Linked DNA regions of Macaca mulatta. The protein of the gene in region 7 purifies or fractionates together with the protein of the main gene of each other region. This does not show direct contact. Links are inferred from orthologs where the notes say so. Each region holds a gene or a part of one and is shown on either strand. Other genes may lie near its edges.

What was found.
Region 1: the proteins of LIN28A (region 7) and LARP1 purify together in Homo sapiens (affinity purification with mass spectrometry; 5 studies listed by BioGRID and IntAct, with this or other methods). This does not show direct contact. The link is inferred for Macaca mulatta from reciprocal best matches to the Homo sapiens genes LIN28A and LARP1.
Region 2: the proteins of LIN28A (region 7) and SSB purify together in Homo sapiens (affinity purification with mass spectrometry; 3 studies listed by BioGRID and IntAct, with this or other methods). This does not show direct contact. The link is inferred for Macaca mulatta from reciprocal best matches to the Homo sapiens genes LIN28A and SSB.
Region 3: the proteins of LIN28A (region 7) and DDX50 purify together in Homo sapiens (affinity purification with mass spectrometry; 3 studies listed by BioGRID and IntAct, with this or other methods). This does not show direct contact. The link is inferred for Macaca mulatta from reciprocal best matches to the Homo sapiens genes LIN28A and DDX50.
Region 4: the proteins of LIN28A (region 7) and LTV1 purify together in Homo sapiens (affinity purification with mass spectrometry; 3 studies listed by BioGRID and IntAct, with this or other methods). This does not show direct contact. The link is inferred for Macaca mulatta from reciprocal best matches to the Homo sapiens genes LIN28A and LTV1.
Region 5: the proteins of LIN28A (region 7) and DDX28 purify together in Homo sapiens (co-immunoprecipitation; 3 studies listed by BioGRID and IntAct, with this or other methods). This does not show direct contact. The link is inferred for Macaca mulatta from reciprocal best matches to the Homo sapiens genes LIN28A and DDX28.
Region 6: the proteins of LIN28A (region 7) and C8H8orf33 purify together in Homo sapiens (co-immunoprecipitation; 3 studies listed by BioGRID and IntAct, with this or other methods). This does not show direct contact. The link is inferred for Macaca mulatta from reciprocal best matches to the Homo sapiens genes LIN28A and C8orf33.

What each region holds. Positions count from the first base shown.
Region 1 is NC_133411.1:163,622,139-163,626,689, forward strand, and holds the start of LARP1 (la-related protein 1), read left to right. Parts: upstream 1-1,274; 5' UTR 1,275-1,722; coding exon 1,723-2,158; intron 2,159-2,429; exon of another isoform or gene 2,430-2,569; intron 2,570-3,113; exon of another isoform or gene 3,114-3,250; intron 3,251-4,551. UniProt on the Homo sapiens protein: RNA-binding protein that regulates the translation of specific target mRNA species downstream of the mTORC1 complex, in function of growth signals and nutrient availability.
Region 2 is NC_133417.1:74,728,019-74,732,507, forward strand, and holds the end of SSB (lupus La protein), read left to right. Parts: intron 1-56; coding exon 57-128; intron 129-437; coding exon 438-480; intron 481-2,135; coding exon 2,136-2,276; intron 2,277-2,704; coding exon 2,705-2,891; intron 2,892-3,030; coding exon 3,031-3,162; intron 3,163-3,504; coding exon 3,505-3,593; 3' UTR 3,594-3,658; coding exon of another isoform or gene 3,659-3,697; 3' UTR 3,698-3,900; downstream 3,901-4,489. Other genes in the region: rRNA N(6)-adenosine-methyltransferase METTL5, read right to left, coding at 3,659-3,697, 4,295-4,344. UniProt on the Homo sapiens protein: Binds to the 3' poly(U) terminus of nascent RNA polymerase III transcripts, protecting them from exonuclease digestion and facilitating their folding and maturation.
Region 3 is NC_133414.1:80,734,585-80,738,635, forward strand, and holds part of DDX50 (ATP-dependent RNA helicase DDX50), read right to left. Parts: intron 1,766-4,051; exon of another isoform or gene 1,654-1,765; intron 1,286-1,653; coding exon 989-1,285; intron 1-988. UniProt on the Homo sapiens protein: ATP-dependent RNA helicase that may play a role in various aspects of RNA metabolism including pre-mRNA splicing or ribosomal RNA production.
Region 4 is NC_133409.1:49,122,203-49,126,253, forward strand, and holds part of LTV1 (protein LTV1 homolog), read left to right. Parts: coding exon 1-90; intron 91-390; coding exon 391-646; intron 647-3,059; coding exon 3,060-3,187; intron 3,188-4,051. UniProt on the Homo sapiens protein: Essential for ribosome biogenesis.
Region 5 is NC_133425.1:63,592,081-63,596,323, reverse strand, and holds DDX28 (putative ATP-dependent RNA helicase DDX28), read left to right. Parts: upstream 1-1,458; 5' UTR 1,459-1,491; coding exon 1,492-3,132; 3' UTR 3,133-3,397; downstream 3,398-4,243. Other genes in the region: DUS2 (tRNA-dihydrouridine(20) synthase [NAD(P)+]-like), read right to left, coding at 1,074-1,217. UniProt on the Homo sapiens protein: Plays an essential role in facilitating the proper assembly of the mitochondrial large ribosomal subunit and its helicase activity is essential for this function. May be involved in RNA processing or transport. Has RNA and Mg(2+)-dependent ATPase activity.
Region 6 is NC_133413.1:155,451,856-155,456,327, forward strand, and holds C8H8orf33 (UPF0488 protein C8orf33), read left to right. Parts: upstream 1-1,701; 5' UTR 1,702-1,724; coding exon 1,725-1,730; intron 1,731-1,818; coding exon 1,819-2,169; intron 2,170-2,296; coding exon 2,297-2,381; intron 2,382-2,530; coding exon 2,531-2,677; intron 2,678-3,248; coding exon 3,249-3,388; 3' UTR 3,389-3,653; downstream 3,654-4,472.
Region 7 is NC_133406.1:214,577,827-214,581,877, reverse strand, and holds part of LIN28A (protein lin-28 homolog A), read left to right. Parts: intron 1-681; coding exon 682-866; intron 867-1,930; coding exon 1,931-2,147; 3' UTR 2,148-4,051. UniProt on the Homo sapiens protein: RNA-binding protein that inhibits processing of pre-let-7 miRNAs and regulates translation of mRNAs that control developmental timing, pluripotency and metabolism.

The DNA.
Region 1 (4,551 bases), on a different chromosome or scaffold from region 7:
ACGCAGATTTCTAGGTCCAGTCCCAGACCGAGCCTGATTCCTAATACTTTGGCATGTGCGTTCAAAGAAGTCTTCCCTTATCACCCAAACAAAAGTAGCCCATCTAGTTTAACTGATTACCACAGTTTAACTATTTTCATAGATACTAGACAATAATTTGTTTATCACTTTTTTATTGTCTCTTTCCCCACCTTAGAATAAATTCCATGAGGATAGGGACTTCGTTAGCCTGGTTTATACCAAACCCGTTTCCTAGAACCCTGCAAGGCCCCCACAGTACGAGGTCAGTAAGTATTTATTGACTAGAATGTACATTGAAGTTTGAAACTGCTGTCATACGTTGTTCCTTCATTTTACAATAGTGAAACTGAGGCCCACGAAGCTGGAAGTCACTGCTGCAGATGGTAAGGGGCAGGGCCAGGATAAAATCTCAGATCTCAGAAGTCCCAATCCAGGGATGGTTCAACTCCGCCCAAAGCAATTCTTGAGGAAAAAAACGACATCCACTTAAAAGAAAAGACATTTTCTGCCCATAAATACAAGGTTTCGCGGTGGGGAGAAGGGCCTGGTCTGGGTGAGGGCTTTGGTAATTCCGTTCCCACTTCCTAGGCGCCCGCTGCCCTCAAGGGCTAAGGAATCGCCTTCCAGGCCCGGAGTCGAACCCATCTCCGGGTAGCGTCGGGGCCAGGCCCGGCGGCGGCGAAGCGCGGAGCACAACCCGCTGAGGTGCGGACGGCTCACCCAACCAAGGTCACCCGGGCGGGGACCGAAGGGGCTAGGCCAGCCGCGCACAGGGGAAGGGGCAGCGTTGGTGCGTCCTCGGGACGGATGAGGGTCCTCCTTCGGTCTCCCGGAAGTCAGGAATGACATTAATGGATCCTTCCCCTGAATCTGACACCCAGCCTAAAGAGCGCGGGCAGGCCCTGCCGCCCGCGTGGCCCGGTCCCATGTGCTCCACCTGAAGCCGCTCTCACGCGCTGGCCCTTTAAGACACCTCCCCTCCTCGCCCAGCCTTCTCTCCTATCCCCCTCAGCGCCCCCACCTACAACTCCCGAATTGCATCAGGCACGTGCTCGCCCCCGTCCGGTCTGAGTGTCCCTACCCCCAGCCCGGGAGGTGCTCTGAGGAATCGGAGACGAGGGGCGGGGCGAGGGGCAGGACCGCGGAGCCGTGCGCGCGCGCTCCCGCCGCCTCCTGCCCGCCCGTCGCCCAGGGCCCGGCCGGCGGGCGCGCCCCCGCTGCGCCGTCCCCCCTCGCCCGCCGCGTCGTGAGGCGCGCGCCCGCCCGCCGCCTGCCGCGGATCGCGTGGTCTGCTCGGCTCGCCGCGCCTCTCCCCCGTCCGTCCATATTGCTGCAGCCCCCGAGCCGGGAAGCCCGGGCCGCCCCGGGGGCGGGGGGGAGGGAGGGACGGGACTAGAAGCCTGCTGGGCTCGGGGTGGGGGCGTCTTGCGAGGAACGGGCGGGGGGGGACGCACGCCAAGGAGGCCTGGACCGCAGAGTGGGGGGCCTTCCTCCCCCCCCGCCCCGCTAGTGGGCCTCGGATTTACGGCGGCTGCATCTAACTGGGAGGGGGCCGCACCTCGCGTGAACCCCGACCCTTCTCCGCAGGGACTGGGGCCCGGCGCCCCGGAGGAAGGCGTCGCGGGCGCTGTGCTAGCCAAGTTCGAGGCGGGGGAGGCAGCTTCGGGCGCGCCCGGCTTCTCCGGGGGGGCGGGCGCGCAGATGGCCACTCAGGTGGAGCCGCTCCTGCCTGGGGGCGCCCCGCTCTTGCAGGCCGAAGAGCACGGGGGGCTGGTGAGGAAGAAGCCGCCGCCGGCGCCCGAGGGCAAGGGCGAGCCCGGGGCAAACGACGTCCGCGGGGGGGAGCCGGACAGCGGCGCTCGGAGACCCCGGCCGCCCTGCGCCAAGCCGCTCAAGGAGGGCACCGGGCAGCAGGAGCGCGAGAGCCCGCGGCCGCTGCAGCTGCCCGGCGCCGAAGGCCCGGCCGTCAGCGACGGGGAGGAGGGCGGCGGCGAGCCAGGCGCTGGCGGAGGAGCTGCCGGAGCCGCGGGCGCGGGGCGCCGGGACTTCGTGGAAGCCCCCCCGCCCAAGGTGAACCCGTGGACTAAGAACGCATTGCAGCCGGTCCTGACCACCGTGAACGGACAGTCCCCCCCAGGTGGGTTTCCCTCCTCGCCCTCCTGGGCCCGGGGGCCTCTTCCGGGGACATGGGAGTCCCCTCCCCCAGCACCTCCAGGGCCCCGGGGTCCGCTACCGGTCATGGTGACTCGGGACTTTTTTAAATTGCCTCCTGGTTGATCCTGGTCGCCGCGCCCTCCCCCAACCGCACACTCAGGGATCTGCCCCTGCCCGAGGACCCGGCCTCCGGGAGGCTGCGGCCACCGCCTGGGCCTCAGCGGTTAGTGGGCAACGGTGTGATCCGGGCCTACCTCGTCGGCAGAGGGTGGGCGCTGGTTTCAGTGAAACGATCCCCACCGCATGCTGGTGTAGGAGACGGTTTCTGGTTTGAACCTTCCTTGGGAAGCCCCTCTTCCCACCCCGCCCGGCGCTCCCCGTTTTGGTAGCGTTGCGAGCGTCCCCATGTTGTAAATGTTTAGTGAGCATATGTCATGGGCAACCCAGTGCCCGGCGCGGAGTACATGCCGGCCGCACGGATTCGGGGATTAAAAGTTAACAAGTTTTGTTCTCGGGGAGATGATCTTGGGCGGTAGAATCGCCATTTGGAGACGGGTTGAAGGGTTAGTTATGGAGAGAAGAAACCCATCGTGCTACCGAATTCGGTGGTTTCCCTCCCCGATCCCGGGCACCTTCCGCCTTAACAAGGAGCCGGACGGCGAGTGTGCTGGGGGAGCCAGTTAGGAGGTTGGCGGAAAATGTGAGGCGGGTGAGGGGCCTGCGGCGACTTGAGGGGCGTGTGGCGGCGGGGGAGGGAGTGGCCCGGCTGGGCGGGCGGGTGACAGTTGGGCGCCATGCGCCGCGCCGGCGTCCCGCGGGTCGCTCGGCCTCGGCGTTCGGCGCGGGCCGCGGCGCTGGGGGTGGCAGGCGGGTGCGGGCCCGCGGCGCCGAGTGTGCGTGTGCGCGGCGCGGGTGTGTGCGCGTCCCCCCTTCCCGGCATTCCTCTGCAGCCGGGACAACGTGGTGCCTCCCCGCGCGGGGAGCGGCATGTGACTGCCGACCGGCGCTCCGCGAGTCCTCCCTCTCCCTCCTCCGCGTTTTGGTCCTTTTGGACCGTGCCCCTTTCCAGGGGGAGGTAAGGGTTGCAGGAAATCCCAGCAGAGCCGTGTCAGCGTGGGGAGAGAGGCGGTGCAGAATATGGAGTCTGCTCCTGGGCTGCCTTTGCCGAGAATAGATCGTCTGCTTGGATGGGGGGGGCGCGCCCACTCTTCCCTCGGCCGGCGCATAGGGCGGGTCTCCATTCTTTGGTTTTGGGTCCGTTTGAGGTGGGTCGGTTTGAAACTGTCTTGTAGTTAGAATGATGGCCTCTGGTCGTAGCCCTGGTGCTTTTAAAAAAAACTCCTCTCCTGCCGTAGCTGATTGAGGCTAACTGGTTTAAACCATTGAAAATAAAGGGGGTGCTTAATGCCTTTACAGTCAAAGAAGTAGAAGCACTGCTAGTCCTAGGGAAGCCAGAATAGCCAGTCCTGAAAACAGCATGTTGCAATTTTTATTTCTTTTCAGGTTGCTTCATTTGGAGGAGAGGACATTGGGGGTTTACTAACAGTCCCTCAAACTGTGTTCTCTTCCTTCTCCCCTCCTTCCCTTCCCCCCTTTCCCTTCCAGAGCCCTCTTATGCAAAAGACAGTGCAGAAACCTCCGTTTTCTTTCACATCCCTCCTATCCACCTACAGAATGAGGGAAAACAACTTTAGAACACTCTTTGGTCCTTCTCCACTCTTTAAACTCAAAAGGGTATAATCATCCGCGGGAGAGAGCACTCCTTTTAAATGGGGCTACTCATCCTGGCTGCTGCTTGGCTAATGGTGAACCTGCCTTGTGGGTTTTAAATCAGCCATGACATCAGGTGGTATTGGGTGCCTGAGCTGGCATTTTGTGTAAGTCCAGGAGCCCTTGATAGTGTGCGTCACTGGGGTTATTGATCGTGGGAAGAAGACAGCTTGGCTGGCATCTCACCTTTTTCTCTGAGTGGAGAAGCTGACTTGCTTTAATTGCCCAAAGCAAAATTCTCAGTAAGGGTAGATTTGCTCTGTTATTGTTTTTTGGAATCTTAAGGTAAGAGAGTGTCTACTCATTGGTTTAGAACCTTTGGAATAGGTTTTGACAGCCTAACTCAAGTTAATTCCGTAGCTTCTCTCTCTAAGCTTGTTGTTAGGACTTGTGTGTATTTTGAGAGAGAATTCTGTGATTGGGCTGTCAGTCTTATAAGGCTAGATGGTGGCACTTTCTCTGGAGTCTACATGAATCTCTGAAGTGCTTTTCCAGCCCTGGTTTTATTTACAGCTTCGACCAATTTAAATGTGACGCTAGTGGAGTGGCTGTGTGGTCTTGGGAATTTTTGTGTTCTGTGATGCATATGTTTTTGGGAGTCTACAG
Region 2 (4,489 bases), on a different chromosome or scaffold from region 7:
TCTGCGGTCTTAACTTTGTTCTCGTGAACTTAGCCTCTGTACTGTGTGTTCTTTAGGGATGATTACTTTGCCAAAAAAAATGAAGAAAGAAAACAAAACAAAGTGGAAGCTAAATTAAGAGCTAAACAGTAAGTATGTTGAACTAATCATGACATACTTTGAATTCCTTAATGCTCTGACAGAAATATAGTTGGTGAGCTCTGAAATAGTGGCAGTAGACCTTTCTCTTTGCTAGTGAAACATTGCGATCTTAAGCTGCCTTGACAATTTCGGGGCCAAATTGCATTGCAGTCTAGCATTGGACGATCAAAAAAACCTAAGGACTTCTGGCTTTGGTTAAGTAAGTTTAGTGATCATGATTGGTTAACTTTATTAGGACTTAATTTTCTTATATAGTAAATGGAAGTATGTTATAATTATGATATTTTTATTTGTAGAGAGCAAGAAGCAAAACAAAAGTTAGAAGAAGATGCTGAAATGGTAAGTATATATTACTGCTATCTAGTATATCTGTAATTCATAGTTAAATGAATAGCTTTTAAGTCTGAGGACTTTTTCAAGAAAATATGTAAGCAAAGCTATCTATAGTTGTCATTGCACAGGTATTATATTGAGGGAAAAGAGAACACTAAGGATAGGAAATATGTTCTAAAATACGAAAAGGCCGGGTGCAGTGGCCCACGCCTGTATTCCCAGCACTTTAGGAGGCCAAGGTGGGTGGATCACCTGAGGTTGGGAGTTCGAGACCAGCCTGGCCAATATGGTGAAATCCCGCCTCTACTAAAAATACAGAAATTAGCCAGGCGTGGTGGTGTATGCCTGTAATGCCAGCTACTCGGGAGGCTGAGGCAGGAGAATCACTTGAACCCAGGAAGTGGAGGTTGCAGTGAACCAAGATCATGCCACTGCACTCCAGCCTGGGTGACAGAGTGAGACCCTGTCTAAAAATAAAGAATATAATAAAACACAGGAAAATATATTTTGAAATATTCAGAAAAAGTTCATTTATGCCTAGAACTTATGTTTATGAGAAAATGTCCTCCTATAACTTCTAAAGATTCTAATCATAGATTAATACTTTTTTTTTTTTTTTTGAGACAGAGTCTCGCTCTGTTGCCCAGGCTGGAGTGCAGTGGCCAGATCTCAGCTCACTGCAAGCTCCGCCTCCCGGGTTCACGCCCTTCTCCTGCCTCGGCCTCCCAAGTAGCTGGGACTACAGGCGCCCGCCACCTCGCCCGGCTAATTTTTTGTATTTTTTAGTAGAGACGGGGTTTCACCGTGTTAGCCAGGATGGTCTCGATCTCCTGACCTCGTGATCCGCCCGTCTTGGCCTCCCAAAGTGCTGGGATTACAGGCTTGAGCCACCGCGCCCAGCTATTTTTGACTTAATAAGATAGTGATGTGTATTTCCATTTAGAAAGTTACAGGTAAAATTTTTTATTTGGGGAAAATAATAATGACTCTTTAAAAAAAAATTTTTTTTTTCTTTTTTTGAGACGTCTTGCTTTGTCGCCCAGGCTGGAGTGTAGTGGCGCGATCTGGGCTCACTGCAAGCTCCGTCTCCTGGGTTCACCCCATTCTCCTGCCTCAGACTCCTGAGTAGCTGCGACTACAGGCACCCGCCACTATGCCCAGCTAATTTTTTGTATATTTTTTTTTAGTAGAGACGGGGTTTCACCATGTTAGCCAGGATGGTCTCCATCTCCTGACCTTGTGATCCGCCTACCTCGGCCTCCCAAAGTGCTAGGATTACAGGCATGAGCCACTGCAACTGGCCTAAAAAATTTTTAAAGTATGATAAATACTGCCTGGAATTATTTTCCAAGATAGTTTAATAACCAGATTTTATGTAGTTTATAACTAAATGCCAGTTGTATAAGAGATCAAATAATATTGAAAGCCATTTTGGGATAAAGGATGACAAAGGAAAACACCAACACTATGAAACTGCTTTATTTATTTATTATTATTATTTTTTTGAGATGGAGTTTCGCTCTTGCTGCCTAGGCAAGAGAAACTACTTTAAAATAGCATTTTGGTTTCTAGGCTCTTGTATAGCTATAATGTGGTGTCAGTCATTTATGGTCTGTTGTTGCTTTTAAGAAACTTTTTGATCGCTTTGTATATTTTTATAGAAATCTCTAGAAGAAAAGATTGGATGCTTGCTGAAATTTTCAGGTGATTTAGATGATCAGACCTGTAGAGAAGATTTACACATACTTTTCTCAAATCATGGTGAAATAAAATGGATAGACTTCGTCAGAGGAGCAAAAGAGGTTTGGAAACATTCCTATGCTTTTTAGCAGTCAGTTTGAAAATCTGTAGAAACTTAGACAAAATTAGTAGAAAGCAATTTTTAAAATTGTGTTTATTAGTTTCTACTTGATCATTTGTTGTTATTGTCACTAGATGTGATGTCTGATATTTTCTGAATTATACTAGTTTCTACTTGATCGTTTACTTTGTTGTTATTGTCACTATATGTGATGTCGGATAGTTTCTGAATTATACTATGAATAACTGTTCATATTGATTATTGCAGTTTTACTTCTGTAGCATTCCTTTTCTACTGTTCAGTAAAGTTCATTGAAACTGGTAAAGGCATGGAAGGTTTGCAGGGTAGAAAAAATTACTTTGAACAAAGAAATTAATTGTGGGACTAAAAAACTAAGGGTATGGCTTTTGTTTTCTGTCTCTGATATAGGGGATAATTCTATTTAAAGAAAAAGCCAAGGAAGCTTTGGGTAAAGCCAAAGATGCAAATAACGGTAACCTACAATTAAGGAACAAAGAAGTGACTTGGGAAGTACTAGAAGGAGAGGTGGAAAAAGAAGCACTGAAAAAAATAATAGAAGACCAACAGGAATCCCTAAACAAATGGAAGTCAAAAGGTCATTTATTCTGATTTTTCTTTAACAGTTTGGTTGTTGAACCCATTTACTTGAGCAAAAACTTTAATCAGTGTTCAAAAACATTGACAAGAGACTTAAAAAAAAATTCTTTACAGAGTGCTCAATTGTGTCTCTACAGGTCGTAGATTTAAAGGAAAAGGAAAGGGTAATAAAGCTGCCCAGCCTGGGTCTGGTAAAGGAAAAGTACAGTTTCAGGGCAAGAAAACGAAATTTGCTAGTGATGATGAACATGATGAAAATGGTGCAACTGGTAAGTTTTTTCCTAAGTCCTTTGGTAGTTTCATGAGAAAATTTGTACTTCCATAAATAAATGATTTGCCAGAGAATAGGGATTTGGCTTTTCAACTTCTGGATAAGTGCCAGTCTTGGATTATTATGATTTACCTTGGTTATGCTGTTGTATAAGTCAGGGACAGGATATTTGGAAGATGAATCTAGAGGTCAGGTCTGTACTAAGAGAAAAGCCTTTTCTCATTGGTGCAAGGAAGTTGTTGCATCTTTTTCAACAGTATCATTATTAGTAATTGTACTCAGTATTAAAATAGAGCAGTACTTACGTTGAATTTAACAAAAATTAATTGTTACGTTATAGGACCTGTGAAAAGAGCAAGAGAAGAAACAGACAAAGAAGAACCTGCATCCAAACAACAGAAAACAGAAAATGGTGCTGGAGACCAGTAGTTTAGTAAACCAATTTTTTTATTCATTTTAAATAGGTTTTAAACTACTTTTGTTTGCGGGGGCTTTTAAAAGGAAAACCGAATTAGGTCCACTTCAATGTCCACCTGTGAGAAAGGAAAAATTTTTTGTTGTTGTTTAACTTGTCTTTTTGTTATGCAAATGAGATTTCTTTGAATGTATAGTTCTGTTTGTGTTATTTCAGATGTTCAAATATCAAAAGGAAGATTCTTCCATTAAATTGCCTTTGTAATATGAGAATGTATTAGTACAAACTAATAAAATATATGCTATATGAAAAGAGCAAAAACAGTTTTTTTTTTTTTCTTTTTGTACCCAGAGCATTTAATAAAGAACTAGAATATTAGCTGTTGACCATGGGCCCTTCCCACAGGCCATTTATGGTGTCTCCTAGGCTGTCTTTCTATATTTACACAGGAAAGTTGATAACACTAGAAATAATTACTTGTCATAAAGCTTTTCTTTTTTTTTCCTTTTTCTTTTTTGAGACTGACTCTCACTCTGTTGCACAGGCTGAAGTGTAGTGGGGCAATCTCAGCTCACTGCAACCTCCGCCTCCTGAGTTCAAGCGATTCTCTTGCCTCAGCCTCCCGAGTAGCTGGGATTACAGGCATGAGCCACCACGTCCGGCCCAGAAAACTTTTCAATACCGAATGTAGACCAGCCAAAATCAAGAGACTTACTGATTTCTTTTTATGAAACTTGTATGATGCTGGCAGGTCATATCGAAGCTCTGTAAAACAAAAGCCACCTAAGGATAAAATTATATTTCCAAGCATTTACCACCCTTGACTAAACAACAACAACAACAAAAAAAAACTAAGACAAGTATTAAGTGCTGGTAAACTGAACATTTTAGAACCTTTAACTTATCCAAG
Region 3 (4,051 bases), on a different chromosome or scaffold from region 7:
TCATAAAGCTCTGCACACCTCTTGATCATCTCCTTAGGATAAATTCCTTTAAGTAGAATTCCTAAACTCTCATGTGATCTAAACAAAATAATAAACTCTTAAACCTATTATAATACAGATTTTACCAAGCAAAATCCCATCAAAGCGAGAAGCAAGCCATACATTCCACTGTTAGCAATACAGATTTAAAGGACCTTATTTAGATCAACAAACACATGTGCTTCCTGACAAACAGCAAATTCACAAATTAAAAAAAAAAAGTCAAAAGTCATAAGACAAGGATTCAACATCTTTTCCCAATGCTCCCCAAAGATTAGGCATTAAGCTCAAATGTGTATCAGCAATTATCATATTTAAAGAATATAAAGAATTACTAATTATCAGCCTGGGGTAGTGGCTCACACCTGTAATCCCAGTACTTTCGGGAGCCGAGGCAGGTGGATCACTTTGAGGTCAGGAGTTCAAGACCAGCCTAACCAACATGGAGAAACACCATCTCTACTAAAAATACAAAAATTAGCCAGGAATGGTGGTGCGTGCCTGTAATCTCAGCAACTTGAGAGGCTGAGTCAGGAGAATCGCTTGAACCCAGGAGGCAGAGGTTGCCATGAGCCGAGATTGTGCCATTTCACTCCAGCCTGGGGAACAGAGTGAGCCTCTGACTCAAAAATAAAAAAAGAAAAAAGAAAGAAAAGCAATTCAAGTAGGTGACCATCAAGCAATTCAGAATAACTTTAGGAACCCAAATGTACAGAAAAGGTTTAAATTTGACTATTTCTCCCATCAGGCCCCAAGAAAAAAGTCATACAATGAAATAAACAAGGGCCAAAGGAAAAAAGACTCAGACTTCACCTGTACAGACTCTCTAATGTAACTAAAAGTAAGTACTAAACACTAATCAAGAAATATTATATAATTATAATTAGCCTAAAAAAATCAACCTATAGTTAAAGTATAATGTCAAATGCAAAATAAAAAGCATCCATACCTCCTCTAGTTTATTATCACTTGATTTATGAGTAGAACTATCTAAGGATGATACTCGCTTTGATTTTTTTTCATATTCATCAATATCTCCATTTGGTAGATCTTTTCTTCTTGACTTATGAGATTTAGAGAATTCATCTGAAAGTCTATTAAATCCTTCTTCAGTGTCTCCATTTAGCTTCTCTTTCATTTTAGTTTTTTTGGCCTTGGGAGCATCCAGGTCATCTGTAACACCATTTTCTCTTGTTTCTGATTTCTCATCTGAGTCATAATGGTGCCTTGACTTCCTTCTGTCACTCTGTGAACAAAGAAAGTAGCAATGACAAGATGGTCAGAGGTTTTCTTTTAAGACTCTAGAGAAGTTAGCGTATGACTCCCCCACCAGTTCAGTTCAATCTACAGTTACTTTGAAAACCTACCTGGTAAAAATCCAGACTGGTTACTAATGCCAAGCTCTAAGCCTCGACTATTGCTATCTTTCTCATCCCATTCCTCATTCTCAAGGCTCATCCTCTAGCCCCTCTCTAATCCCTTCATAAGATTTAAGGAAAATTAAAACGGTTTCTCCTTAAGGAAAGAAAGACAACTCCAGAATTATAAATATTAAACAAACAAAAACTTGCAACATTTCCAAGAGAAAAAAATTAATACTTATTGAATACCTACCCAGCACTGTGTAATGTGTTTTCAGCTTATCTTGTTTAAATCTTCATAACAACCCTATAAGGGAAGTACAGGTCCATAATCCCTTATCCGAAATTGCGATATCCATAAAGCTCTGAAAACCGAAAGTTTTTTTGTAACTTATTTGGAGGCAAAACCTTACCTGAACTCATTTGATGGCAAAATTTAACTTGAACTAATGTGAGGCTCTTTATAGTCTTTATTTATCCCACTTAGTATGACTACTCATATTTAATATTAAGGTGTTTGATTACAGGTTCTGGGCCCCAAACCCTACCTGGGTGTTATCCTTCTAAAAATCCCCAGAATTCTGAATTCCAAAATACAACTAGTTCCAAGGATTTTGGATAAGGGATAGTGAACCTGTATTACCTTTGCCATTTTATTTATTTATTTTTGAGATAGAGTTTTGCTCTGTCACCCAGGCTGGAGGGCAGTGGCGCAATCTTGGCTCACTGCAACCTCCGCCTCCCAGGTTCAAGTGATTCTCCTGCCTCTCAGCCTCCCAAGTAGCTGGGACAACAGGCGTACACCACCACCAGTAGAGATGGGGTTTCATCACGTTGGCCAGACTGGTCTCAAACTCCTGACCTCAGGTGATCCACCCGCTTCGGCCTCCCAAAGTGCTGGGATTACAGGCGAGAGCCACTGCGCCCAGCCACCTTTGCCATTTTATAGACAAGGAAACAGAAGCTCTAAGAGGTTAAGCAACTTGCCAAAGATCCACATGTGGGATTTCCCGCAGCTCTAAGTACTAGAAATTGAATCTAGCACTGCCTGACTTGAAAGCCCATTCTCTTTTCACATTATACTTCCTCCCTGTACTTTGACAATTCACAGGTTAAAGGAAAACGAAACAAAACTATATAATTCATACAGAAGTCCAATTGTTATACCTCCATGGAAGGACAGTAATCCCTGGAATTTTTTTTTACTTTTTTAATTTAGTTAAAGAAAAAAAAAAAGCACTATTCTGCAACTTCAATTTTAAAATGCCAAACTACTGGTCAGTGTTGTGATATTTACAGAACACAAGAAAGGATTTGGGAATTTAGGACTTTAGCCTGGTGGCTAGCTGCGGTGGCTCACGCCTATAATCCCAGCACTTTGGGAGGCAGAGGTTGGGTGGATCACCTGTGGTCAGGAGTTCGAGACCAGCCTGGCCAACATGGTGAAACCCCATCTCTACTAAAAATACAAAAATTAGCTGGGTGTTGTGGCACACGCCTGTAATCTCAGCCACTCTCAAAAAAATTAATTACCCGGTCAAATGTTCAAAACAGATAGCAGTGACTAGGGACAGTAAAAACTACCACCACCAAAATGTTCACCATAACTTACACAACTTTTAGAGTTCTTTCACATATAATTTTCTCATCCATAAAATTGGAATTGCTGTGAGAATTGATCAATATTTGTGAAAATGCTTTGCAGTTACACATTACATCATCTGATTGATCTACAGTTAACTGCACTAGCCCATATCTTTCCAAACCAATAGGTTCTACAGAAAAACAAGATTATTTATAGAGTCAGCCTTGGGGCTTGAATTGCTCCTGGGCCCTGCACTTCAGGGAGAAGTTGAAGCAAGGCAAAGTGAAACCTCTCGGTCCAAGCCCAGTAACATCTCAAGGTGATTAAATATATTATTCCACTTTAGACCCACAATGCTTGGCACTCTCCGTTTACTTGGTTTCAGTTACACTTTATATTCCCTTCTTACCTCTATCTTCTTACCTCTACCACATATCTTCTTCAATGTTCCTCTCCTTCCTCCTCCAGTGGATGCTCCTTGAGTATCTGTTCTCTATGTTCACTTTTATTACTATTTTCATGGCTCAACACGTACTTCCAGACTCCCTTCCTCACCTACATTCCAATTCTAAGAATCTAAGGACCAGCTCCATATCTCAACACATCCAAACCAAAGTTATCTTCATCTCAATACCAGACCACTATTCGTTTTTGTTTTATTTTGTTTTCTGAGACAGGTCTTACTCCATCTCCCAGGCTGGAGTGCAGTGGCTCAATCATGGTTCACTGTAGCCTCAACCTCCCTGGCTCAAGTGATCCTCCCACCTCAGCCTCCTGAGTAGCTGAGTCTACAGGCACGCGCTACAACGGCGGCTAATTTTTTTTTTCTTTCTTGAGACAGAGTTTCGCTTTTGTTGCCCAGACTGGAGTGCAATGGTGTGATCGTGGCTCTCTGCAACCTCTGCCTCCTGGATTCAAGCGATTCTCCTGTCTTAGCATCCCGAGTAGATGGGATTAACAGGCGCCTGCCACCATGCCTGGCTAATTTTTTTTTTTTTTTTTTTGAGACAGGGTCTTGCTCTGTTGCCCAGGATGGACTGCAATGGTGGGATCTTGGCTCACTGCA
Region 4 (4,051 bases), on a different chromosome or scaffold from region 7:
TGACTTTGATGATCCAGATAATCTGCTTGAGGATGACTTTATTCTTCAGGCCAATAAGTCAACAGGAGAGGAAGAGGGAAGGGATATACAGTATGTGTGGTTTGTTTCAAAGCAGAGATGATGACCTAAGTGTTACTGCTTCAGTGGGATGGTAACCATAGAACGTTACAGTTGGAAGAGACCTTCAAGAGCATTTAATCTGAGACTTCTGTATTTTAGAGCAGAAAATGTGAAATTTATTGCTTTTCCTACCAAACTGGGTTGATCAGACACCCTCCTGCCTAGACAAGAACCTTTCCTGCAATACCTTCCGGTTTTACTTGTGTAAAGTGATTTTGTTCTGTTACTTTTTAAGTTGTTTTGGTAGGTAATTTGTGACCTTTACTTTAGGAAATCTGAGAATGAAGATGACAGCGAGTGGGAAGATGTGGATGATGAGAAGGGAGATAGCAGTGATGACTATGACTCTGCAGGCCTATTGTCAGATGAAGATCGTATGTCTGTGCCCAGAAAAACCCACAGAGCTATAGCAGATCACTTGTTCTGGAGTGAGGAAACAAAAAGTCGCTTCACCGAGTATTCGATGACTTCCTCAGTCATGAGGAGAAATGAACAGCTGACCCTACATGATGAGAGGTTTGAGAAGGTAAGGTCCCCAAATAAGGGATGCTTTAGTACTATCTTATGATATATATATATATATTTTTTAATACCTGTCAACTTTAGCCCAGGTTGAAGTGCTCACCAACCACAAAGTCAATCATAGGAAATTTACAACTATCCAGCTATAGGTTCATGTAGCCAGCATAAAGCAGAAGGTTATCAGTGCAGTACAGGAGCACAAAGACTGGAAAGGGAGCATAGAACTGTGCAGAAGAAGAGTAATCGCCTAGGAGGATGTGACTTTTCCAATTTATATCACACGCTTACACCTGGAGGTGGCCCAAATGATGTCTCATTCAACCTGAATGGATAACCAAAAGTAGTTGTAATCGTTTTATTCTCAGTAACTGTGGTAGGACAACTCACTTGAGTTTCTATTTGGCCCTTAAAACCCCCAAGAAGTGGTCCTGAAAACCCCCATCATGTCTAATGTTGTGCTTCTTTATTGTGTGTGTCATATAGATTTGTCTCAGATTAGAATGTGAATTCCCCAAGGACAGAGAGTTTTTTGTATTTTGCTCACGGATACATCCAAAATCCTAAACTGGTGTCTTGGCATGTAGTAGAAGTTTAAAGTGTTCCATAAATGATAAATGTATGAAGGAATAGTTTCCTTCAAGGTGAATCTAAAGATAGAAGCAATCCAGTAGAGGACCTTGATGAAGCCAAGTGGGTTGAGGTGGATCTGGAAGCTGGACCATCCTCTGGCCAAGTCAGCCAATCCGCCTGTGAGCTAAGTAGATGTTAGGCGCCTTGCTGTGTGCCTTGCTTTTTGTTTTTTAAATTTTTTTAAAAAGAGAGATTGGGACCCAAAGCTAAAACTTTTGAGTGTTGAAAACAACGTATCTCTTTATTAAAACAGAGCATAAAAGCACCCTACTTATTGTTGTTTTCCCTTTACACACTCTGTGAGGCCAGTCACCCTAGTTTTGATTCTGGAAAGAACGTGTATAGGTCAAAAGGAGTTGGCTGATCAAACATTCTTATTGTCCCCCTTGAATTCTGACATCCTGATTCTCAATTTCTCCAACAGTAATCCGTAAGATGTTGTATTTCTGAAGTATTGGCCTCATTGAGCACATCAAAATTCCATTTCTTTCCATTTCTCATCTGGAGTTTTCAGACATAACTAACACTGAGGAACATAATGGAAGTAGAGTATAAGACGCTTTTGAAAGTTTGAATTTTCATATACTGTATTTGGTTCTGTTGTAACAGATTAGCTCCAGGGTTTGTGATCCCAACCTATAGACTGTTTATAAGACTTTTAATCCCACCTATCCTGTTGTTCTGTAGCACATAACACCTCCTAACATCATGTCTAATGTTGTGCTTCTTTATTGTGTGTGTCATATAGATTTGTCTCAGATTAGAATGTGAATTCCCCAAGGACAGAGTTTTTTGTATTTTGCTCACGGATACATCCAAAAGCCTAAAATGGTGTCTTGGCATGTAGTAGAAGTTTAAAGTGTTCCATAAATGATAAATGAATGAAGGAATAGTTTCCTTCAAGGTGAATCTAAAATAAAGGCTCTTACCTTGCTACCTTGTCAGCTAATACTATTTTCCCTCCTCTCTTGAGGGAGAAGCAAATTGTTGCTACACGTCTCACACTTCAGGAGATATATCCCCCCCATTTACTCTTTGTCAAAGCTTAACAGTGTCAACACCATTTGCATAATATAATAATTATTGTCTAGACAAGAACGAAATATGTACATTAGTGGGAGAATTTTCAGTTGCACAATCTTTTAGTTTGCGTAACTAAGGAATTTGAAAATATCTTCAGGCTGGGCATAGTGGCCCATGCCTATAATCCCAGAACTGTGGGAGGCCGAAACAGGTGGATCACTTGAACCCAGGAGTTTGAGACCGTCTTGAGCAATGCAGAGCCTGTTTCTATTAACAAAAATAAATAAAATAGCTGGGTGTGGTGGCATGTGCCTGTGGTCCCAATGCTTCAGAGGCTGAGGAGGGAGGATCACTTGAGCCTGAGAGTTTGAGGCTGCAGTGAACTATGGTCGCGCCACTGTACTCCAGGCTTGGAGACAGTGAGATATTTAAAAAAAAAAAAGAAAAGAAAAAGTATCTTAAAAAATGTTTTGATGTAATCTGTGCTGCCTAGCATTTTGTTCTCCAAGCTAAGTAGAATAATGCCTTTCTTTACATGTTAAATGGAAGCCTATTTTTAGTCTAAATGTAAGTCTTAAAGTACTGAGCAGAAATATCTTCCACATCCTATTGCATTAAATCCCTACTAATATTTTAATGGTAATTGTGATAGTACCTAAATAACTATTGTGTAAGAATAAAATTAATGTAAAAAAAATTTTAAATATGTAGTCTTACTGAGTACATTTGCTTTTCATGTTATCTTTTCTCCGTTTATATTCAAGTTTTATGAGCAATATGATGATGATGAAATTGGAGCTCTGGATAATGCAGAATTGGAAGGTTCTATTCAAGTGGACAGCAATCGCTTACAGGAAGTTTTGAATGACTACTATAAAGAAAAGGCAGAGAAGTACAGTGACTTTTCTTTCCTTGTTTATCTGTTCTTTTTTTTAAAAAAGAAAAAATTCCAAAGAAAGGTCTATAGTATAACTGAATTGAGGAAAAAATTAACCTAGTCAAAATCCATATTAAGAAAATGAAAAAGGAAAAAAAAAGATAGGAGGGGGGAGAAAAGAAAGTGGTACATTTTCCATAAACTTTGGCTCATGTATAGCTCATCTGTTTTGCCTACATTTTGGTGTTAAGCATTCTGAAGTAGAATGTAATGGGAATATACGAGGAGCCACTTTTTCCGTACCTTTGACTTGAGAAGAGTCGTGGTAGAATGTGTTTCGTTTTTTAATTTTTTTTTTTTTTTGAGATGGAGTCTTGCTCTGTTGCCCAGGCTGGAATGTAGTGGTGTGATCTCAGCTCACCTGCAACCTCCACCTCCTAGGTTCAGGTGATTCTCCTGCCTCAGCTCCTGAGCCGATGTGATTACAGGGGCATGCCGCCATGCCCAGCTAATTTTTGTATTTTTAGTAGAGACAGGGTTCCACCATGTTGGCCAGGCTGGTCTCAAACTCAACCCCATGTAATATGCCCGCCTCGGCCTCCCAAAGTGCTGGGATTATAGGCGTGAGCCACCGCGCCCAGCCCATTTTAAATTTTTTTTACTTTTATTTTGCTTACAAGTTAAAGAAATAAAGGGACACATTCCCCTTGGGAAATAAGATGATATTTCTAGTCTTTGGGCTGAAGAATTATTCCAAGTATATGCTCTTTTCATCTTTCTGAAATGCCAGGTGTTTTGAGAAGTAGGTATTTACATCTCGTGGAAAGATAAGAATTTGTCTCTCCAGCTAGATTAGAGGAACTGACCAGCTGGTTATTT
Region 5 (4,243 bases), on a different chromosome or scaffold from region 7:
TTTCTTGTGGAGAAAAAAAGCCTCTACTCCTCTGGTTTATCTGGCAACTCTCCAGAAAGTCTAATTGTGTAGCACAAGGGTAGAGTGTACTTAAAATTGTAAAAGTTTTTCCTCATACTATTCCAAAAAAAAGCAGTTTTTATCTTTTCAGTGGTATTTGATGAAACTAAAACGCTTTCTCCAGATGTTACGAACCTCCCAGAGTTAACCCATAAACATTTACCTTATCTCCCACCCCAGGCACTGCGGATTACAGAAAATATCTGACACCTATTTTCCAGATCTGTTCAAGAAGTGTCTGTTGGGCATGGTGGCTCACGCTTGTAATCCCATCACTTTGGGAGGTCGAGGTGGGAAGATCACTTGAGGCCAGGAGTTCCAGACCAGCGAGGCCAACATGGTGAAACCCTGCCTCTACTAAAAATAGAAAAAATTAGCCGGGAGTGGGTGGTGCATGCCTGTAGTCTCTGCTACTCGGGAGGCAGAGGCAGGAGAATCGCTTGAACCCCGGAGGCGGAGGTTGCAGTGAGCCGAGATCGCGCCACTGCACTCCAGCCTGGGTGACAGAACGAGACTGTGTCTCAGGACAAAAAAAAAAGGTGACTCATATAGTTCTTGTTTTTACAACCCGAATATCTGAATTCAGGTAAAATATTCTGCCTGACCAGGGCTACATGATAAGCTACGTACCTGCTCATTTCGCAGGGTCGCAGCACCCTTCTTACTACTATTTAGGCAATATAGGTTTCTGACCGGGAAACCAGCGGAGCTGAGCGGGCTGCAAGAGGGGTGGGTTCAGGATGAGAAGTTGGGATGGGTGACGAAGGAGTAGAGAGTGAATCTTGGCTGAAAAGTAAGGAAAATAACTGTGAAGAAGAGATGACCCAGCTTGAAATAAAGCCTGAAGACCTCACCTCCCACTTGAGAGAGAGAAGCAGCTGAAAGCCATCAGCTTGCACTCTGGGCTTTCAGACAGGGAGCGTGAGGGGTTGAGACCAGATCTACGATTTCACACCCCTGTCTCGGCCCCTAGGCCTGACCATTCATTCAAATTCTCAATAAAAAAGGATTACCAGACCCTGCGCAGGGAACACATCTGGGAAAACAGCTGCAACCTCGGAGACCAGCACGGGACAAGCTATCTCTGGGCAATAAGGAACAACTAAAGAGAATCCCAGGAACCAGGTAACCAATCGCCAGAAGCCCTCCGCCCTCATGATCCATTGGGTCAAGGCCCCACTGCCGCCTCGTATCGCCAGCCTCCAGTCCTGCCACCACGACGCACCCTTCCCCAAGGCTGGCCGGGTCTGGATGTCGCCATCCCCTATTCCGAGCTACAGACCTCGCAGCTGAACTCTTAAGGAGAACTTCCCTTCTTCCTCACGGTGCTGCAGCTCCGTACAATGTACTGAGCCTCGCCAGCCACCGTACGCGAGGTCGCGGCGCGTCCGTGACGTCACTTGTGTGCGCTTCTGCCGCACTAAGGGAAACATGGCTCTATCGCGGCCAGTGAGGCTCTTTTCCCTCGTGGCTCGGTTGATCCTGGCGCCCCGACGAGGTCTCACGGTCCGCAGTCCCGACGAACCCCTGCCGGTGGTGCGTATTCCAGTGGCTCTACAGCGGCAGTTGGAACAACGGCAGAGCAGGCAGCGGAACCTCCCGAGGCCGGTGCTGGTTCGACCTGGACGGCTGCTGGTCTCGGCGCGGCGGCCGGAGTTCAACCAGCCGGCGCGCCTCACACTGGGTCGTTGGGAGAGCGCGCCGCTAGCCTCTCAAGGCTGGAAGAGTCGACGCGCGCGTCGGGACCACTTCTCCATCGAGCGAGCGCAACAGGAGGCGCCAGCTGTGCAAAAGCTCTCGTCTGAGGGCAACTTTGCTGACCTGGGCCTGGAGCCCCGTGTGCTGCACGCACTACAGGAGGTTGCGCCTGAAGTCGTTCAGCCCACAACCGTGCAGTCTAACACCATCCCCCAACTACTTCGCGGCCGCCACGTCCTTTGCGCCGCAGAAACCGGCAGTGGCAAGACTCTCAGCTACCTCCTGCCGCTGTTTCAACGGCTCATGGTCCAGCCAAGCCTGGACTCCCTTCGTATCCCCGCTCCCCGAGGCCTAGTCCTTGTTCCTTCCCGAGAACTGGCCCAACAGGTGCAGGCTGTGGCCCAACCCTTGGGCCGCTCCTTGGGCCTGCTGGTGCGGGACCTGGAGGGAGGCCACGGCATGTGTAGGATCAGGATGCAATTGGCCAGACAACCTTCAGCAGATGTGCTAGTGGCCACTCCAGGGGCTCTGTGGAAGGCCCTGAAAAGTCGACTGATTAGTCTGGAGCAACTCTCGTTCTTGGTGTTGGATGAGGCAGACACACTGCTGGATGAAAGCTTCCTGGAACTGGTGGACTGCATCTTAGAGAAGAGCCACATAGCAGACGGCCCAGCTGACTTGGAAGACCGCTTCAATCCCAAAGCTCAGTTAGTGCTGGTAGGAGCCACATTTCCCGAAGGTGTAGGCCAGTTGCTGGATAAAGTCGCCAGCCCAGATGCTGTCACCACCATCACCAGCTCCAATCTCCACTGTATCATGCCTCATGTGAAACAGACATTTCTGAGACTGAAGGGAGCAGATAAGGTAGCCGAGCTGGTGCACATTCTCAAGCATCATAACAGAGCAGAAAGGACTGGCCCCTCAGGAACTGTTCTGGTGTTCTGTAATAGCTCCAGCACTGTGAACTGGCTGGGATATATTCTGGATGATCACAAAATCCAACACCTAAGGTTGCAGGGGCAAATGCCGGCCTTAATGAGGGCAGGAATCTTCCAGTCCTTCCAGAAGAGCTCCCGAGACATACTTCTCTGCACAGACATAGCCTCTCGGGGCCTGGACAGCACCGGTGTGGAGCTGGTTGTCAATTATGATTTCCCCCCAACGCTGCAAGATTACATCCACAGAGCAGGGAGAGTGGGCCGTGTGGGGAGCGAGGTTCCAGGCACCGTCATCAGTTTTGTGACCCATCCCTGGGATGTGAGCCTGGTTCAGAAGATTGAGCTGGCGGCTCGCCGAAGGAGAAGTCTTCCAGGACTAGTATCCTCGGTGAAAGAGCCTTTGCCGCAGCAACCTGATTTTGACAAATCTGATTAAAATGTGATGCTAGAACAGGGATATTTCCCAGTATCTTGAGTGGGTGATCACACTTGTAAGTGGGAGGCTGTGGGCTGCCGTCAGCTCCTTGAGGGTAGGATGAACTGCCATGTGACTTGGAAAGGTAAGATGCTAGCCAGCATTGGAGAAGAAGCTGCTGAGCATGGCTTTCTGTAGTCTTTCACAAGACACAAGTGGATTTTGACTTTGTATCATGTCATGATTTCTAATAATAAATGATGTTTTTATGTGCCTCCCCTAAGAATATTTAGCACTGGAGTGGAATTCAGTAGTTTCTGAGGATTCATACCCCAGACTGCCACATCTAGGACAAAGGCTCTTTCAGTTGATGTTTTAATTTATAAACATTGAGTTTTTATTTCCTGCCCCCAAAAAGGTATCCATTAAGCCCCCAGGGAAAGGAAAGGAACTATGACCAGCAGTAGACAGAGTTCTTCACTAACAGCGCTCAAGACAAACGGGCATCTTGGCGAAATCTCTCTGGAAGGTACCGGCAGGAAAGTAAAGGGTAGACTAACACAGAAGTTTTGCTTGTACTTCTATCCCAACTCAGTGGCCGAGAAAGAGGAGAGATGATTAAACTGTTTTACAAAACTGGCAAGATAACCATATAGCATTTTTTTAATATATATATATACAAAAAAATTATAAAAATTAACCCGGCATGGTGGCACGTGCCTGTAGTCCCAGCTACTCGGGAGGCTGAGGCAGGAGAGTCACTTGAACCTGGGAGGCGGAGGGTGCAGTGAGCCAAGATCATACCACTACACTCCAGCCTGGGGGACAGAGCAAGACTCTTATCTCAAAAGAAAAAAGCCGGGTGTGGTGGCTCACACCTGTAATCCCAGCACTTTGGGAGGCTGAGGCGGAAGGATCACTTAAGATCAGGAGTTTAAGACCAGCCTGGCAAACATGGCAAAACCCTATCTCTACTAAAAATACAAAAAAAAATTAGCTGAATGTGGTGGTGCACACCTGAAATCCCAACTACTTGGGGGGCTGAGGCGCAAGAATGGCTTGAACCCGGGAGGCGGAGGTTTCGGTGAGCCAAGATTGCACCTCTGCACTCCAGCCTGGGTGACAGAGCCAA
Region 6 (4,472 bases), on a different chromosome or scaffold from region 7:
GAATAGTATGAGATAATATGTGTTGTTTTCAATCCGCTGATTTTTTTTTTTTTTGAGACGGAGTCTCGCTCTGTTGCCCAGGCTGGAGTGCAGTGACTTGATCTCAGCTCACTGCAAGTTCCGCCTCCCGGGTTCACGCCATTCCTGCCTTAGCCTCCAGAGTAGCCAGGACTACAGGTGCACGCTGCCACACCCGGCTAATTTTTTTGTTTTTTTTTTTAGTAGATACGGGGTTTCACCGTGTTAGCCAGGATGGTCTCTATCCCCTGACCTCGTGATCCGCCCACCTCGGCCTCCCAAAGTGCTGAGATTACAGGCGTGAGCCACCGCGCCCGGCCAATCTGCTGAATTTTGGGGGTAATCTGCCACACTGCAGTAAATAACTACCAGCGATGACCAAACTTTTACCCTTCCAGACCTTGCAGACCAGGCAGCTAACACTTCCCATCCCACGGTCTCAGGAAACACCACTTTCCACTCCTGTGTCCCCGACAGGAATCATCAGACAAGTCGAACTCTCACCTTCTCAAGCAACACAACCCACCCTCCTGGCCTAGCCCACTCCTGAAGCCTCACTCAGTCTCACCTCAGCCCCTACGCAATTCCTCTCGGTTGTCAGGCCTCCATCGGCGGGGGTCGAGTGTTGTGTGTGACCCCAGGTCTCCAGCAAGGTATAGTGGGAGGGAAGCATCCGGGAGAAGAGAGGTGGATTGGGCTCTCCCTCTCCCCCATACCGCCACCCTCCCTCACGCCCATATCCTGTCCAAGGCTCTTCCCGCGTCTGCTTCTGAAATCCCTCCACATCCCTCCACCCCATGTGCCCCACTCGTTGCACAGGAGCAGAGAGAACCGCAGAACACACGTCTACGATTATGCCACTCTTCAGATTTACATCTTGCAGCAACTTCCCACTGCGTTAGAACGGAAGTAAACCTCCCAACTCACAGACCTCACCCGAGCCCCCACGTCCCGCGTCGCCGGCCTCTCAACCGACGGTGCCCTGATCCTCTCGGAGCGAGCGCCGCGGGCTGCGCCGGGTCCCAGGCCTGCGCCTCTTCCCCATTTCCCAGGGGTCTTTGCCGACCACCCTCCTGCGCCACAGCTGCTCAAGTTCTGTTTACTTGCTTTTCCCTCCCCACCAAAAGGTGAGCCTTGAGAAGACACACCCTTGTGTAGAGCTTTGAACTTTTATCCGGAAAGGTGCCGGGCACATAGTCGGTGCCCGGGAGCACTTGCTCACAAGGTTCCTTCCGAGACCGCCCTGCAGCCTCTTTCCGGATCCCCCAGGCACCCCCGACCCCGGCCTCGCCCCACCCTACCCTCGCCCCAGCCCCGCCCTGCCCTCGCCCCAGCCCCCCCCTGCCCTCGCCCCAGCCCCGCCCCGACCCTGTCTCAGCTTCGCCTCGGCTTCATCCCGCCCCAGCCTCGCCCAGCCCCTCCTCTCCCCTCCCCGCCCGTCCCCTTCCCGCCCCCGCCCCGCCTAGCCCCGCCCCAGCCCCGTCCCAGCTTCGCCTGAGCCAGGTCCCAGCCCCGTCCCACCATCGCCGCGCCCCAGCTTCATCCCGCCCCAGCCTCGCCCCTTCCTCTCAGGGCCCCCGCGCCCCGCCCCGCCCCGCCCCGCCCCGCCCGCGACCCTGCGGAACCTAGAGTCGCAGGCGCCCTCTTGGAGGACGGAATTCGACGTCGGACTCCGCCTCGCGTAGTTCCGGTGGCGACTGCGGAGCATGGCGGTGAGCGGTGTGGAGAAGACGCGCGGGTGGCTGGGCGTCGCACTGTCGGTGGCCCTCCGTGACCCTCGTGCTGCCCCCCTTTCTCCAGGCCCTAGGACATCTTGCCGGGGAGGCAGCGGCGGCCCCAGGCCCGGGTACTCCCTGCGCGTCCCGCAGACACCGGCTTCCCGGCCTGGTTTCCAGCGTCCGGAATCCCTCCACTGTCTGTCTCTGCCCAGGGCAACCCACGAGCAGTAACGCCGACACCAGAGCGCACCCGTTAGGCGATGAAGGCAGTGCAGCGTCGAAAAAACAAAAGAATAAGAAGAAAACCCGGAACAGGGCCTCTGTGGCAAATGGAGGCGAGAAGGCCTCAGAGAAACCCGCCCCAGAAGAAGTGCCCCTAAGCGCTGAGGCCCAGGCAAGGGCGGGCGTCATTCAGGAAGGGTGGAATCCCCTAGTGCGAATCCACGGGCACATGTGATCTGGGGTCCGCAGAGTTAAGGCGGGGAGGGGGATGGGATGGGGCCAGGCGCAGTTTTGTGTCCCAGTGCCCTCTCACAGCCACTTCCCCAAATCCCTCACAGGCGCAGCAGTTGGCCCAGGAATTGGCTTGGTGTGTGGAACAACTGGAGCTTGGCCTCAAGAGGCAGAAACCCACCCCAAAACAGAGTAAGGGACCTTTCTATAGAGTTGGGGAATGTGAACAGTGGCACCGCCTGGCCTGCAGGTGCTGGCAGAGGTGAAGTTGTTTCCTTTGCGGTGGGGCGGTAGGAGGTCAGTAGTAGAGGTTTTCACTAGTCCTTTGTTTTTATTCGCAGAAGAGCAGGCTATTGGAGCAATCCGAACCCTGCGCAGCAAAAGAACGCCCCTGCCCCGGAAGAGGCAGTTGATGCACTCCTTGTTTGGAGACTATAGGGCTCAGATGGAAGCCGAATGGCGTGAGGCCCTGCGGGCTCTCAGATCTGGTGAGGAGCTAGTAACTGGTTGATTTAGGAAGGCCTAATTTAAGGAGGAAGTGCCTAGGGGGTGAAAGGAAGAAGGCCCAGAGCAACAAGGCTGGTGGGGGAAGGAGATGAGCTCAGGGAAGCCTGAGGGAACAGGGAAAGAGTAAGGATGGACCTGTCTCTCCTTTTCCCAGGACTGAACCTGGGAAGCAGCGGGGAGGTCATGGGAGGAGCGGGAAAGAGTGTGACCCTGTGTTGGTCCTGCTCCTGGCTTGGGGAAAGCTGCGTTATGTCTTTGTGTCTTGGCTCTCTCTACTGGCAACGAAGCCATATCCCATAACAGTTTGAGTGCAATTCCTGGAGCCAGATGAGCTAGGTTCAAATCCTGGATCTACCACATAGTAGTACTAACACCTTTTGCAAACTACTGAACCTCTCTAAATGGGCGGTGATAGTAATATCAACCTTACAAATTTGAGGAATTAGTTAATTTATTCAAAGTGGTTAGAATTGTATGGGCAAACATAACTGTACAGGTAATGTTAGCTGTTGTTATTCAGTTCTCACATACGCTGCTTCTCTCCCCTGACAGCTGCTTATTTAGCCCAGGTGCAGCCTGTAGATGGAGCCACCAGAAAGAAGAGCCGAAGGGTCTGCAGGCCTCGCCCTATAGGGCGAGCCAAAGCCACTCTGGACACTCCTGATGAAGAGTTTAGGTTCAATTTCTTTTAGCTTCTCCCCTGACCTGGAACATTCCCCCTCCCTTGGGGTGGTGTAGGGGTTTGTTTTGAGTGCAGAGCCTTTTCAGGACTTCTGTTGGGAGAGAACCCTGGGGTTGGTCTGTCCCTGGCTGGTCCAAGTATTTGGAGCTGTTGTGAAGGTGTGAGACCATCAGATAGGCAAAAGACCCCATTTGTTTTGTGATGAAATGTTCTCTCTTTCAGAACAGAGAGAGAGGTGCGTTTAGAAAATGTACAATAAATTGAAGTGACTGTTTGAAGTATTGTAGAAAGAATATTGTACTCAGTCTTTAGGATTAGATTAAGTGGCTGTTGGTAACAAAGATTAGTGGAGAAGCTATATAATTATACACTGTTTTTCACTTTTGAAAGGAATTCCTGTCAAATGGTTTAGTGCTTAATGCTGTTATGTCACATTGCCCTAGTCTTTATTTTTGATAAAATTGGATAACGAGTGAAAGAGTGTGCTGACCAGCTGTGTTAGAGGAAGTACAGAAGACGGCAGGGGTCTGGTTCCCTGGGTCCAGTCCCTTGCCTCGATCCTTTGTCCATGTTGCCTTCATTCCTGAGCAGGTGTCATCCTCAGGGAACCAGCATGGCAGCCACCAGGCATGGCTGTCTTCTCAGGAGGAAGGAGCTTCTTGCCCTAACAGTTCTGGCCTGAGACCTGGATTGAGCCTCGGCATGTTGGAACCGAACTGTTGATTCCCTCCTGGGCAGGGGTTGCCGCGAAGGATTACCGACACGAGATTCACAGCAGAGAGTTATCTATTACTAGCGCGCTAGGGTCCCAAGCTCTAAGTTGGCCCTGGGACCCCGACTGCTTGTTACAGGTTGTTTATATAGGCAAACACAAGTTTAAACACAGCTTATGGCGCGAAATTTAAACAAAGCTTAAGGCGCAAAATGATTGGGTCTAGCTATGGCCTGAGCAAGGTGTTTTATGCTAATTGGTTAGAGCAGGACCTTATGAGGTTTTTTCCTGGAGTTGTTGATTCCGGGAACTTCGAGGCAGGGTGGGACACCATGAGGTTGTTTCCCGGAATTGGCAGGGTGGGACCCTATTAGGGTGGGTC
Region 7 (4,051 bases):
TGTTGCCCAGGCTGGAGTACAAAGGTGCCATCTCGGCTCACTGCAACCTCTATAGCTTGACACCTCAAATTTCGTAATTTTATATTTGTTGATTTCTTCCAAATGCTTATATGTAGAAATTTTTCTCTTTGTTTGTTTTGTTTTTTGAGACAAAGTCTCACTCTGTTGCCCAGGCTGGAATGCAGTAGCATGATCTTGGCTCACTGCAACCTCCGCTTTCTGGGTTCAAGCAATTCTCCTGCCTCAGCCTCCCAAGTAGCTGGGATTACAGGTGCCTACCACCATGCCTGGCTAATTTTTTTTATTTTTAGTAGAGATGGTGTTTCACCATGTTGGCCAAGCTGGTCTCGAACTCCTGACCTCAGGTGATCCACCCGTCTCGGCCTCGCAAAGTGCTGGGATTATAGGTGTGAGCCACCGTGCCAGGCCCTCTGTTCTATTTTATTAAGAACTTTAAATTCTTAATTTAATAGCTATAAAATATCATGGCATCTGCTTATATAATTATGATTTTTGTTAATGTACTGGTAGACTTTTGTTGTTCGTAATTGTAGTGACTCTGAGTCAGTTTCCTTACCAGTAAAATAGGAGTACCATCACATTTGATTCCTGCCCTACAGGAATAAGTGCTCCTGGTCTTTCGGTGTAATAATGGAAACTAATGTTATTTCCCTTCACCAGAGTAAACTGCACATGGAGGGGTTCCGGAGCTTGAAGGAGGGTGAGGCAGTGGAGTTCACCTTTAAGAAGTCAGCCAAGGGTCTGGAATCCATCCGTGTCACCGGACCTGGTGGGGTGTTCTGTATTGGGAGTGAGAGGCGGCCAAAAGGGAAGAACATGCAGAAGCGCAGATCAAAAGGAGACAGGTATGGACTGGAAGGCAGCTTTTAGGTTGCTGGAGCATCCCCAGTCTCCCAATCCTGTCAGTTTTGGGTCACACAGCAAAACACGAAGGGAAGCCTGTGGTCCCTGGCAGCATCTGGAAGGCTGAGTGCCTGCAATAGGTGTGGGCAAGGGCAGTAGGTGAGGAGGGCACTGGGGGTGACTTAGTGCTTCTACTTGGGACAAGTAAGTTTGCTCTGTGGGCTCTAGCCTCAATTGTTAAGTGAGGCCAGTGATACTAACATCCTAGGATGGTTTTAGAATTAAAGGAAATCATGGATTTGCAAATGATGCGACAAGATAGTATTATCTGTATCTGTTGTTGCTTTACCAGGTCTGCAAATGGCGGGTTTCCTTAATCTTGTTTGGTCTTTTTTTTTTTTTTTGAGACGGAGTCTCGCTCTGTCGCCCGGGCTGAAGTGCAGTGGCCGGATCTCAGCTCACTGCAAGCTCCGCCTCCCAGGTTTACGCCATTCTCCTGCCTCAGCCTCCCAAGTAGCTGGGACTACAGGCGCCCACCACCTCGCCCGGCTAGTTTTTTGTATTTTTTAGTAGAGACGGGGTTTCACCGTGTTAGCCAGGATGGTCTCGATCTCCTGACCTCGTGATCCGCCCGTCTCGGCCTCCCAAAGTGCTGGGATTACAGGCTTGAGCCACCGCGCCCGGCCATCTTGTTTGGTCTTAAAGCCCCTTAGCTCTGAACAGATACTATAATTTGGCTTCTTTAATTTCTCTTATATTAAGGGTATGGAAGAATCTCTCCTATCCTCCAAGTTGCAGTTCCCAGTTGGGGTCAGTAACTTCTATTTCTGGTGTCTTGGTATTTTCAAGTTGACATGAATCTGAAGAGATCACCTAGACAATTAGATGTGGAAAGGACTTAAGAGATCATTTAGTAATAGTCCTCCTTTTGTAAGTGGGAAGTTTGGTCTCTGGGAAGGGAAGTAAGTGACAAACCTGTACCACAGCCAAGGTGTCCTCATTCATGGGAATCATCTGGCCTCTTCTTGCTCCTTTCTCTTACTTTTACCATCTTGCTTTGTACTAGGTGCTACAACTGTGGAGGTCTAGACCATCATGCCAAGGAATGCAAGCTGCCACCCCAGCCCAAGAAGTGCCACTTCTGCCAGAGCATCAGCCATATGGTAGCCTCATGTCCGCTGAAGGCCCAGCAGGGCCCTAGTGCACAGGGAAAGCCAACCTACTTTCGGGAGGAAGAAGAAGAAATTCACAGCCCTGCCCTGCTCCCGGAGGCGCAGAATTGAGCCACAATGGGTGGGGGCTATTCTTTTGCTATCAGGAAGTTTTGAGGAGCAGGCAGAGTGGAGAAAGTGGGAATAGGGTGCATTGGGGCTAGTTGGCACTGCCATGTATCTCAGGCTGGGATTCACACCATCACCCTTTCTTTCCTCTAGGTGGGGGGAAAGGGTGAGTCAAAGGAACTCCAATCACGCTCTGTCCAAATGCAAGTGAGGGTTCTGGGGGCAACCAGGATGGGGGAATCACCCTGCAACCTGCATACTTTATCTGAGGCTCCATTCCCAGAATTTCCAGCTTTTGAAAGTGGCCTGGATAGGGAAGTTGTTTTCCTTTTAAAGAAGGATATATAATAATTCCCATGCCAGAGTGAAATGATTAAGTATAAGACCAGATTCATGGAGACAAGCCACTACATTCTGTGGAAGGGAATCTCTCAGGAGTAAGCAGTGTTTTTTTTTTTTTTTTTCACATCTTGTATCCTCATACCCACTTTTGGGATAGGGTGCTGGCAACTGTCCCAAGCAATGGGTAATGATGATGGCAAAAAGGGTGTTTGGGGGAACAGCTGCAGACCTGCTGCTCCTGTGCTCACTCCTGCCCCATTCTGAGCCAATGTGATTTTATTTATTTGCTCCCTTGGATACTGCACCTTGGATCCCACTTTCTCCAGGATGCCAACTGCACTAGCTGTGTGCGAATGACGTATCTTGTGCATTTTAACCTTTTTTTCCCTTAATATAAATATTCTGGTTTTGTATTTTTGTATATTTTAATCTAAGGCCCTCATTTCCTGCACTGTGTTCTCAGGTACATGAGCAATCTCAGGGATAAGCCGGCAGCAGCTCCAGGTCTGCGCAGCAGGAATACTTTTTGTTGTTTTTGCCACCATGGAGAGCAACTATTTGGAGTGCACAGCCTATTGAACTACCTCATTTTTGCCAATAAGAGCTGGCTTTTCTGCCATAGTGTCCTCTTGAAACCCCCTCTGCCTTGAAAATGTTTTATGGGAGACTAGGTTTTAACTGGGTTGCCCCATGACTTGATTGCCTCCTACTGGAAGATTGGGAATTAGTCTAAACAGGAAATGGTGGTACAGAGGCTAGCAGAGGCTGGGCCAAGTGAAAGGCCCAGAGAGCAAGCCAAGATTAGGTGAGGGTTGTCTAATCCTAGGGCACAGGACGTGTTTTACATCTCCAGATCCATTCTTCACCAGATAAGGCTAGGCCTACCATGCACCACAGGGTGTGTGTGTGTTTGTAAAACTGCAGTTGCCAAGGATAAGTTTTAAGACCAATACCCCTGTACTTAATCCTGTGCTGTCCAAGGATGGATATATGAAGTAAGGTCTAAGATTCTTAACCTGTCAAAATTCTCGGGTTCCAGGGAGACACACAAGTGAGGGCTTTGTGGTGCCTGGGGCCTGTGTCCTGCCCTGCTGCAGTAGTGATTAATAGTGTCATGGTAGCTAAAGGAGAAAAAGGGGGTTTCGTTTACATGCTGTGAGATCACCGCAAACCTACCTCACTGTGTTGAAACGGGACAAATGCAATAGAACGCATTGGGTGGTGTGTGTCTCTTCCTGGGTTCTTGTCTCCCCTAAATGCTGCCCCCCCTCTAGTTATTGTATTTGTCTGGGCTTTATAGGACTTCACTAAGTTGATTGCTAGGTGGCCTAGTTTGTGTAAATATAATGTATTGGTCTTTCTCCGTGTTCTTTGGGGGTTTTGTTTACAAACTTCTTTTTGTATTGAGAGAAAAATAGCCAAAGCATCTTTGACAGAAGGTTCTGCACCAGGCAAAAAGATCTGAAACATTAGTTTGGGGGGCCCTCTTCTTAAAGTGGGGATCTTGAACCATCCTTTCTTTTGTATTCCCCTTCCCCTATTACCTATTAGACCAGATCTTCTGT